Linked DNA regions of Rattus norvegicus. The protein of the gene in region 1 binds, or shares a complex with, the protein of each later gene. Links are inferred from orthologs where the notes say so. Each region holds a gene or a part of one and is shown on either strand. Other genes may lie near its edges.

Region 1 (3,646 bases):
CCTGAACTGCCCTGGAACTCCTATGTAGCACAGGTTGGCCTCAGATTTGGGGCAGTCCTCCCAAGTGCTGAGACTACAGGCATGACCCACACAGCTGCCTTTTGCAGTTTTCTGTGTGGTATTTTCAACCCTGAACTCTTGAAGTTTTCATCTTTGCTTTGGCACTTGCAGCCTGTAAGGGCTATTTTTACTGTTTCTTTATTACAGCGACTTGCTCTTGGTTTAGGGAACGCAATCTTTTATGTAGACAAGATAATACTGTTTTTTTTGTTTGTTTGTATGATTGATTGAGTTGTTTAATTCATGCTATATACATTTTTGTGCTATTGATGGAACCCAGAGCTTTCACATGCAAAACAATCGCTCTACCACTGTGTGACATCACTCACTCCCTGTATAAACCTTCAAACCTTCTCTTCCCTATTAAATTGGCTCTGATCTCCTATATTTGATACTTTCTTTGGGCATAGGTAAGTCTTGGTTATGTGTCTTATTATTAAAAAGACAGATTGTGAAATTTACTGAGCAAGCAGGTGAAAGCTGTCCACAGTGATTTCCACCATAGGTAGTTAGGAAATGGTAGTGTATATAATAGTTTATAACTTTAGAACTTTTCTCCTGGGTTTACCAACTTCCTCAAATAGAAATCCTTCTGCCTGTGGTGAAGGCTGATTGCAGAGGTCTGGGAAACTGGAGGATGAGTGACCTGGGTAGTGGAAAGGTAACCTTGGCATTCATTTTCTACACAGTCATTTAAACTCTGTCTTTGGGTTATGGCTGTTGCATTATACCTGGGTTCTCCCTGTCCTGAGTTCCCTTTTCATCCATTCAGAATGCAGATCTCCAGACAGCATGGCAGGCAGGGACAGTGAGCAGCTGGCTAGTGCTTTGGGATGGGGAAGAAAGGCTGGTTCTCTATGTCATAAATTCTTGGACTTGTTCCTTGTCTTCACCGTCTCCTTGTGTTACAGACATACTTAATGCTGCCATGCCAGAGCTCTGGGCAGACTGTAGGGTGCACATGGCATGCTTTTCATTAGCAACATTTTGGTCTTAGGACTTAGCCTTCAGGAGTCTTCTACCATCCACCCATGTATCCATCCACCTGCCCATTCATTTGTTTGTCCGTCCAGCCACCTATGCATCCATCTATCTACCCATCTATCCATCTAGCCATTCATCTGCCCACCCACCCATCTATCCATCTATCCATTCATCCACCCACCCATCTATTCACCATCTATCCATCCATTTGTCTGTCCATCCATCCACCAACCCACCCATCCATCCACTTATGTATTTAACCATCCATCTATCTGTCTGTCCGTCCATCCATCCAGCAATCCACCCACCCATCTGTCCATCTTCCTGTCTGTCTGTCTGTCCATCTGTCTGTTCATCTAGCAGGAGTCCTTTCATACTGCCTCCATCATCGGGACTAAGTCAGTGAATAAGACAGAAAACCTGCTGTGATGCTCACACCTCAGCTGGGGATAGCCCATAGGAGATCGCAGAGTTTTGGAAAGTGCTGTGTGCAGTGGAGAGAGTCCCCACGGTGTGAAGTAGTGACTTCACCTTCCTGTAAGGTTGTTAGAGCATTCTCACTGAGAAGGGAGAAGCTGGGCAAAGACTTAAAGTAGGTGAGAGAGTTAGCCTTTAGCCTGCCACGGGCAGTGGGGATTAGCACTCTAGCCTGAAATAGGAGCATACTGGGCATGCTCATTAAACAGGAGGGAGGCCAATGCTAAGTGGGGCATTCAAGGGGAGGAGGAGGCAGTCAAGCAGTCAAGAGATGCAGTCTGGGTTCACAAGGTCACCGGCAAGGATGCTGTCTCCTTTGTCTCTGGAGAGTTTACCATTAGACTCAGGCCTCTACTACAGGGCCATGGCCGGGATGTTTTAACCAGGGTTGTGTGACTGACCTGTAAAGTACTCTCCTCTGAGTAGGAAGGAGGCACTCTCCTCTGACTGCGGTGTGGGGAGTAGGCTGTAGGCAGGAACAGTGCAGAGACTGGCAGCTGTACAGTTCCCAGGTAAGCCATGGTATGCCCTGTGCTTGGGAGCACGACAGCAGTAGGACTCATGCACACAGGGCTCCATAGCATGTAGACATCTGCTCCTGCATGGCTGCTGAGCACAGCCATATAGCTGGGCCACACCAGGAGTCTAAATGTACCAGCTGTAGAAGACGTAACAGAAAAGAGAAAAAAAAAAAGCAACACGTTCCACTATTTCTTATGCTGACAGTGTGTTGAAATGGCAGGATTTTGGATGTTGTGGTTAAGTATGATCTGTGACGAAGTACACCTAGCCCTTGTTGCTGAAGCATGTGGCTGTTAGGTCTCAGTGCACATATACCTTGCTTGTATGCGCTGGACTGTTTCTGTCGGACAGCTTGATTCTGGTACTTTGAAGGTGGAGACCACAGGACATGCTGACAATGTGCAGAGAAGGAACTGTAAGGTGACCTCAGATGCTGGCCTGAACAGCTAGAAAAATGGAGAAGACTTGAGCAGAGATGAGAAAAGGCATGTGTCTGGCATTCTTGACCAGCACACGTGTGTTGTGTGTGTGTGTGTGTGTATACTTATGACACATTCAAAAGGAAGAAAATGGGCAGTTAGGCGTGCGGGTTCCATACCTAACCAGGTAAGCCACAGCACAGTTTAGACTGGAGAAGAAGGTGAGTTCTGTATAGAGAGAGAGTTTAAGCATTTGGGCCATGGGACCTGGTACAGCACCTGCTATCCAGAGGTCTGCAGCTTCCAAAATCATGTTTTGCTTTTGTATGTTGGCAGGTTCATGTATTTATTTGGTCCTTTTTTAGCTTTTAATTTTCAGCTATTCATTCTTTCAGTGGGTTTTGGGAGGGAGCCAGGTTGGCTGTTTGTTTGTCTCACCAACCACGACGACATCATCTTTGTTTGCTAAGTGCAGACGGTAACGCAGTTGTTTTTCTGGGCTCTCATTATGCTAGAAGAGGACTGCGTATCGATTGTACTGTTTTCTCTTTTATCCTGAATGCTTGACGCCAGAAGGATTTCAGATATTTTTGGGGGTTTAGAATATTTACATAAACAATGGATACCTTGGCAACCCGACCCACGTCTAAGGACAGAAGTCATTTATATTTCATACATGCATGGCTGGAAGGAAATTTTACACGGTGTTTCAATTTTCCAGTTATGACATTGTACTAGTTAGCAGCACTCAAAAGGTTTTGGATTTAAGAGCATTCAGATTTGGGGTCTTCAGTTTAGGGGTGTCGAACCTCTAATAGAAACCTTTCCACACTGCTCCTCCTCCCTGGGTCTCCTTGAAAACAGTGATGGCCTTTCCTTTGTTGTCTGTAGGCAAGAAGACTGCTTGATCTCGCCGCAGTGAAGGCAAATGGACTGGCCGCCTTCCTTCTACAGCACGTCAGGAAATTACCAGCCTCACTGTCTCTGCCTTACGAGGGTATGTATTTGCCCCTTTGGGTTAACACAGATCCCCAGGTAAAGAGCAAAGCGCACGGCAGTTAGCATCCTCGGATTGAAGCCTAACGTCCCCTAGACTCAGTTCCTGTCTCTGAAGCCTCGCAGGGACCTGCAGCAGTGACGATAGAAAAGATAACGGCGCGGTGGCTCTCCCCTTTCACTGCTCC
Region 2 (4,157 bases), on another chromosome or scaffold:
ACAAACAGCAGGCACAACCGTCCAGTGGGAAGTTCATAGATAAAGTTGCAGTCCCCGCCAAAGGTCAGGTGCTACCACTCCCTACTCTGTTCAAAGTCCTCTGCAAACAGGCTAGCAAGATGGCCCAGCAGGTAAGAGTACTTACTGTCAAGCCTGGACAACCTAAGTTCCATTCCTGAAACCCACATGATGGAGGGCTAATCCACATGGCTGAACTGAGAGAACTGACACCCACAAAGTATACTGACCCCATACATGTGCTATGCTGTGGCATGTATGTATGCATGTGTGTGTGTGTGTGTGTGTGTGTGTGTGTGTGTGTGTGTGTGATTTTTTTTTAATTAAGTCGCCTGCAAAGGTGGAAAAGAGTTCCTGTCAGGATCCATAATGGTGTGGACTCGCCAAGTTCTCCACTTTGCATCTGTTGCAGGCTCACATTGAGGGAAGTGTCCACTTGTAAGACTGCGTGCACAATAAGTGGTCCTCTGCTTCAGCAGACTCCATGGTCCAGTGAACATAGGGGTGATGGCCAGGGGGCCAGGGTACCAGTGTCCCATGGACCCCCTAAGCACCTCACATGGGAATGGGAATGGAAGGAACACTGGGGAGATCATCATTGAGTCCTGCTGTAGCTCTGCTGGGCCATCATAGCTGTGTAGCCTCTGTAAATGGTTAGTGTTCCTGAGCCTCTGTTCACAGGCAAATGAGTAACAAACAAAGCAATGGCAAAAAGAAAAGGAAAAGCTCTTGGAACTTTAGCAAGTGGATATTGTCAGTCCCTCACTACAGCTATCTCCAAACCCCTAAAAGGCTACAGGGATCTTGGGCCTTGGAAAGGACCTCCGCCCAATCCATCCAATATCATGTTACCTAACCTACAACCTGCAAATTCACACTAGCCCTCTCAGAAGAGAGGCCCCGGGCATCCAGTGCCAGGCCTCAAGTCAATCGAGCACATGAAAAGTCCACCGTCTCCCTGCACAGTGCTTTGCAATGTCACTCACAATCTCTCCCCCTGTGATTTGCAACTGCAACTTTTATTTTGATGAGGCATCTCTTTGCCTGGAAGAGCTGAAATGCCTCCAAAACAAACACTGCTTCCAAACCCTTCCTGAGTGGAGCAGCATCTGATTTCCTGGTTCTCAAGTTCCACGAGGTCTGCACTGCAAGTCCCTCCCCAGCCACCTCCCCCAATAAGTGCCTCCCTAGTTACTCACAGAAGTTGGGCAATGGTCAGGGATCTGGCCTCCCACTTATGTAAGACGCAATTACCCCGCCCACTAGGCTCCTGCACAGCCATGGCGGCCAGCTGCAGGGGACCCAAAAAGCCCCCACCTGCTCAGGACAACCTGACCAGGACTAGGACTCCTGAGGTCAAGGTTTCCTAAGTCAGAAGGAGAGAAGGCTACCACTGCACAAGCACCCTCTTAAGTGCCCACCATTCCTGTCCTCTGTGCTCTGCCCCTGCAATCCAAATCTGAGCCCAGACCCCACAGGGCTGAGAAAGCTGGAAACAGTCAAGGATGTGCAGCAACTATTTTTCCCCTGGGTACCTACTATGTGCCGGGTGCTATGTTGGGCCCTTGATCATCTCAGACATGCTTGCTTCAAATCACTCTACCTTCAATCTCACATCGCACCCCTGATATCCATTTCATTAATAAGGCCTAGACATGTCCAGAAACTAGCCAGGTGAGGCAGCCCAGGATGCAGAGGGTCAACCCATTCACATCTACAGTCCAGCTTGGAACTCTTTTCTGCAGCCCAACCTACTGAGTCTCTGACATGTTAAAACATCCTTCTCTCTTCCTGGAAAAAAAAAAAAAGCTTTCTGACCTCCAAATCTTGTCCCCCTCACTTCCCATGACAAATGCTGCTGCTGCAGCCCACGCAGCTCTACTGCCACCTCACAGAAATTTCCAGGAAAGACAGTTAGTTACTTGGAGAAGACAAGCCCAAGCCTTGTACAGTCAGCCCCTGGCCTGCTGTTTGCCCAAGGACCAAACTGCAGGTCTAAGAGCAACAGACTAAGAAACACTAGGTGCAAAAAAGAGGTCAGCTCCTAAAACTCAGTGAGAAGATTGCAACTGAGTCAACAAGTAGCAGGTAGCATGGGCTGAGCTGCGAAGTGGAGACGCCAGGAAGTTCTACAGGTACAGCGGTAGGGAGGAGTGCAGGCGGCCAGTGTGCAGGCCAGCAAGGCATGGGGCAAAGGAGGACTCACAAGGATGGAAAGAGTTGGAAGAGAGGAGTTCTGAATTCAAGAGTAGACAGGTTTCCTGCATTGGGAACACAGCCCTGGGGCCCAGAAGAGAGTAAATTCCAGCCTGAACAAAATCCAAGAGTCTGGCCTGAGGGGGTTAGTGCAGCCGAAAGACCCTCTAGCAGGGATCACAGAAATCCCAGCTGAGTCCAGGATGAAGCCCGGAAGCCTGGACAAGAAAGAAGCTCACGGTGCGGCTCCAGACTTGGAGTGGAGTAAGGAGAACAAGGTCCTGCCTGGGTGAAATCCCACGGCCTAAGATCCGAATTCCAATGAGGTCCCGTGAGGTCCCGGGCTTGGCTTGGGCTGGACCCAGTCCTGGGCTGGAGTCCGGGTGCCTGTGCCCAGCCGGGAAAGGAGTCCAGGGGCACGGGCGGGCTCAAATTGAATGTGGCTCGGGCCGCGCGGTAGGGCGGGAGAGCCTACCTTTGGTCTGAGGCAAGCTGGCCGGCGGGCTGGCGGCGGGCGACTCCATGCTGCGGACCGTCGCGGAGGAGAGCACTAATCTAGAGGACAGCAGACTACACCGGGGCCGGGCGCGCTCATGGTTGCTGGTGGCTGGCAGCGGCGGCAGGCGATGGGCGACAGGCGACACAGACGCGACAGTTCCAAGCGTCCGAGGCGGGCGGCGCCACAGCCACACTGGGCAGCGCCGGACGCCTACCGACGGCGCCACGTAGGCCCCGCCCATCGTACTGATTGGCCCGCCTGAAAAGGCCCCAGCCTATCAAACACCGCCCGGACTGTCACGTACAAACCCCACCATCCAACAGCCGGAATCCAAACCCCCACTTTTCTAGTCCAGCCCGGCTCCGCCCTCTTGCCATCAAGATGACAGCCCTACCCACTCGCGGGATTGTGCTGGCGTGGTCCTGGGTGCCCCAGCCTGTGCCCCCCTACGGCGCAGCGTGTGCCGGTCGTAATCTGGAAAATCCCAAACTCTCTAGAGTGCGGAGCCAGGCCGATGCACTCGGTGGGGTTAAAAGTGCTCCCTGAGTGAGACTGGACTCCTAAATGGCTGAGCCATACCGAGGGTGAGCGTCCATGTGCTCCCCTGAAGAGAGCGGCGACCACCGGCTTGCCTCCTAGGGCAGCAGGAAAAGAGCGATCCCACGGCGGGCGCGTGCCAGGTGAGTGTTCACCGACTGTGGGAAAGAGTTTACTGCACCTTGCTGAACGAGCACGCGTTTAAGTCCAGTCTCTGAGAGCACTTGGCACGCCAGCACCTAGGGAGCAGGGAATTCAGTGGCTAACCTTTGCCTAGTGACAAAGTAACTGTTTTGGTTGTAACATTATAGCAGCTCTACGTCCTGGGCCCCCGGATAGTCTCAGATTAAACAAAGTGTCATTCCAAACATTGAAATACCTTTGGCCAGCCTTGACTGGGGTTCCATCTCGGCAGTTGGTCGCTGAACCTCTGTCCTCACACTAGCCAGAAATCTCTGGGGTCAGTTAGAAACCTAGGTCTAGTGAAGGCAAGAAGCACAAAGTCAAGTAGTCAGTCAGAGCTCGAGAGCTCGAGTAAGTCTTAGCTCTCTGGCCAACACTCAGGCCCCGAATGCCTTGCTTGCATATTTGGTTTCTACTATAGTCCTCTTCCCGTGTCACCTGCCCCTCCCCATTAAGAATCCTGAATGTCTCATCCCCTGCTGTATCCCAAGGCTTAGCCCAGAGCCATGCACATAGTAGGTGCCTAAGAACTATTCAAGGAATGAACAAAGGAAGTAGGAAAAGCATGCCACAGACATGGGTAAAGTGACTCTAGTCCCGTGCCAGCCTCCCAGGCACCAGGGTGACTCAGACAAGGCCCTCAAAACAGGAGGAGTTTAATGGGTTAGTCAGAGAACTTGACAAACAGCCCAGGGATCACAGACTCCATTGGGGTGCTATAAAT

What was found.
Region 2: Nod2 (region 1) and Map2k3 share a complex: the UniProt entries of both Homo sapiens proteins name them as parts of the signaling complex. The link is inferred for Rattus norvegicus from reciprocal best matches to the Homo sapiens genes NOD2 and MAP2K3.

The regions. Positions count from the first base shown.
Region 1 is NC_086037.1:34,582,664-34,586,309, reverse strand, and holds part of Nod2 (nucleotide-binding oligomerization domain-containing protein 2), read left to right. Parts: intron 1-3,353; coding exon 3,354-3,459; intron 3,460-3,646. UniProt on the Homo sapiens protein: Pattern recognition receptor (PRR) that detects bacterial peptidoglycan fragments and other danger signals and plays an important role in gastrointestinal immunity.
Region 2 is NC_086028.1:46,106,382-46,110,538, reverse strand, and holds the start of Map2k3 (dual specificity mitogen-activated protein kinase kinase 3), read right to left. Parts: upstream 2,901-4,157; 5' UTR 2,739-2,900; coding exon 2,690-2,738; intron 1-2,689. UniProt on the Homo sapiens protein: Dual specificity kinase. Is activated by cytokines and environmental stress in vivo. Catalyzes the concomitant phosphorylation of a threonine and a tyrosine residue in the MAP kinase p38.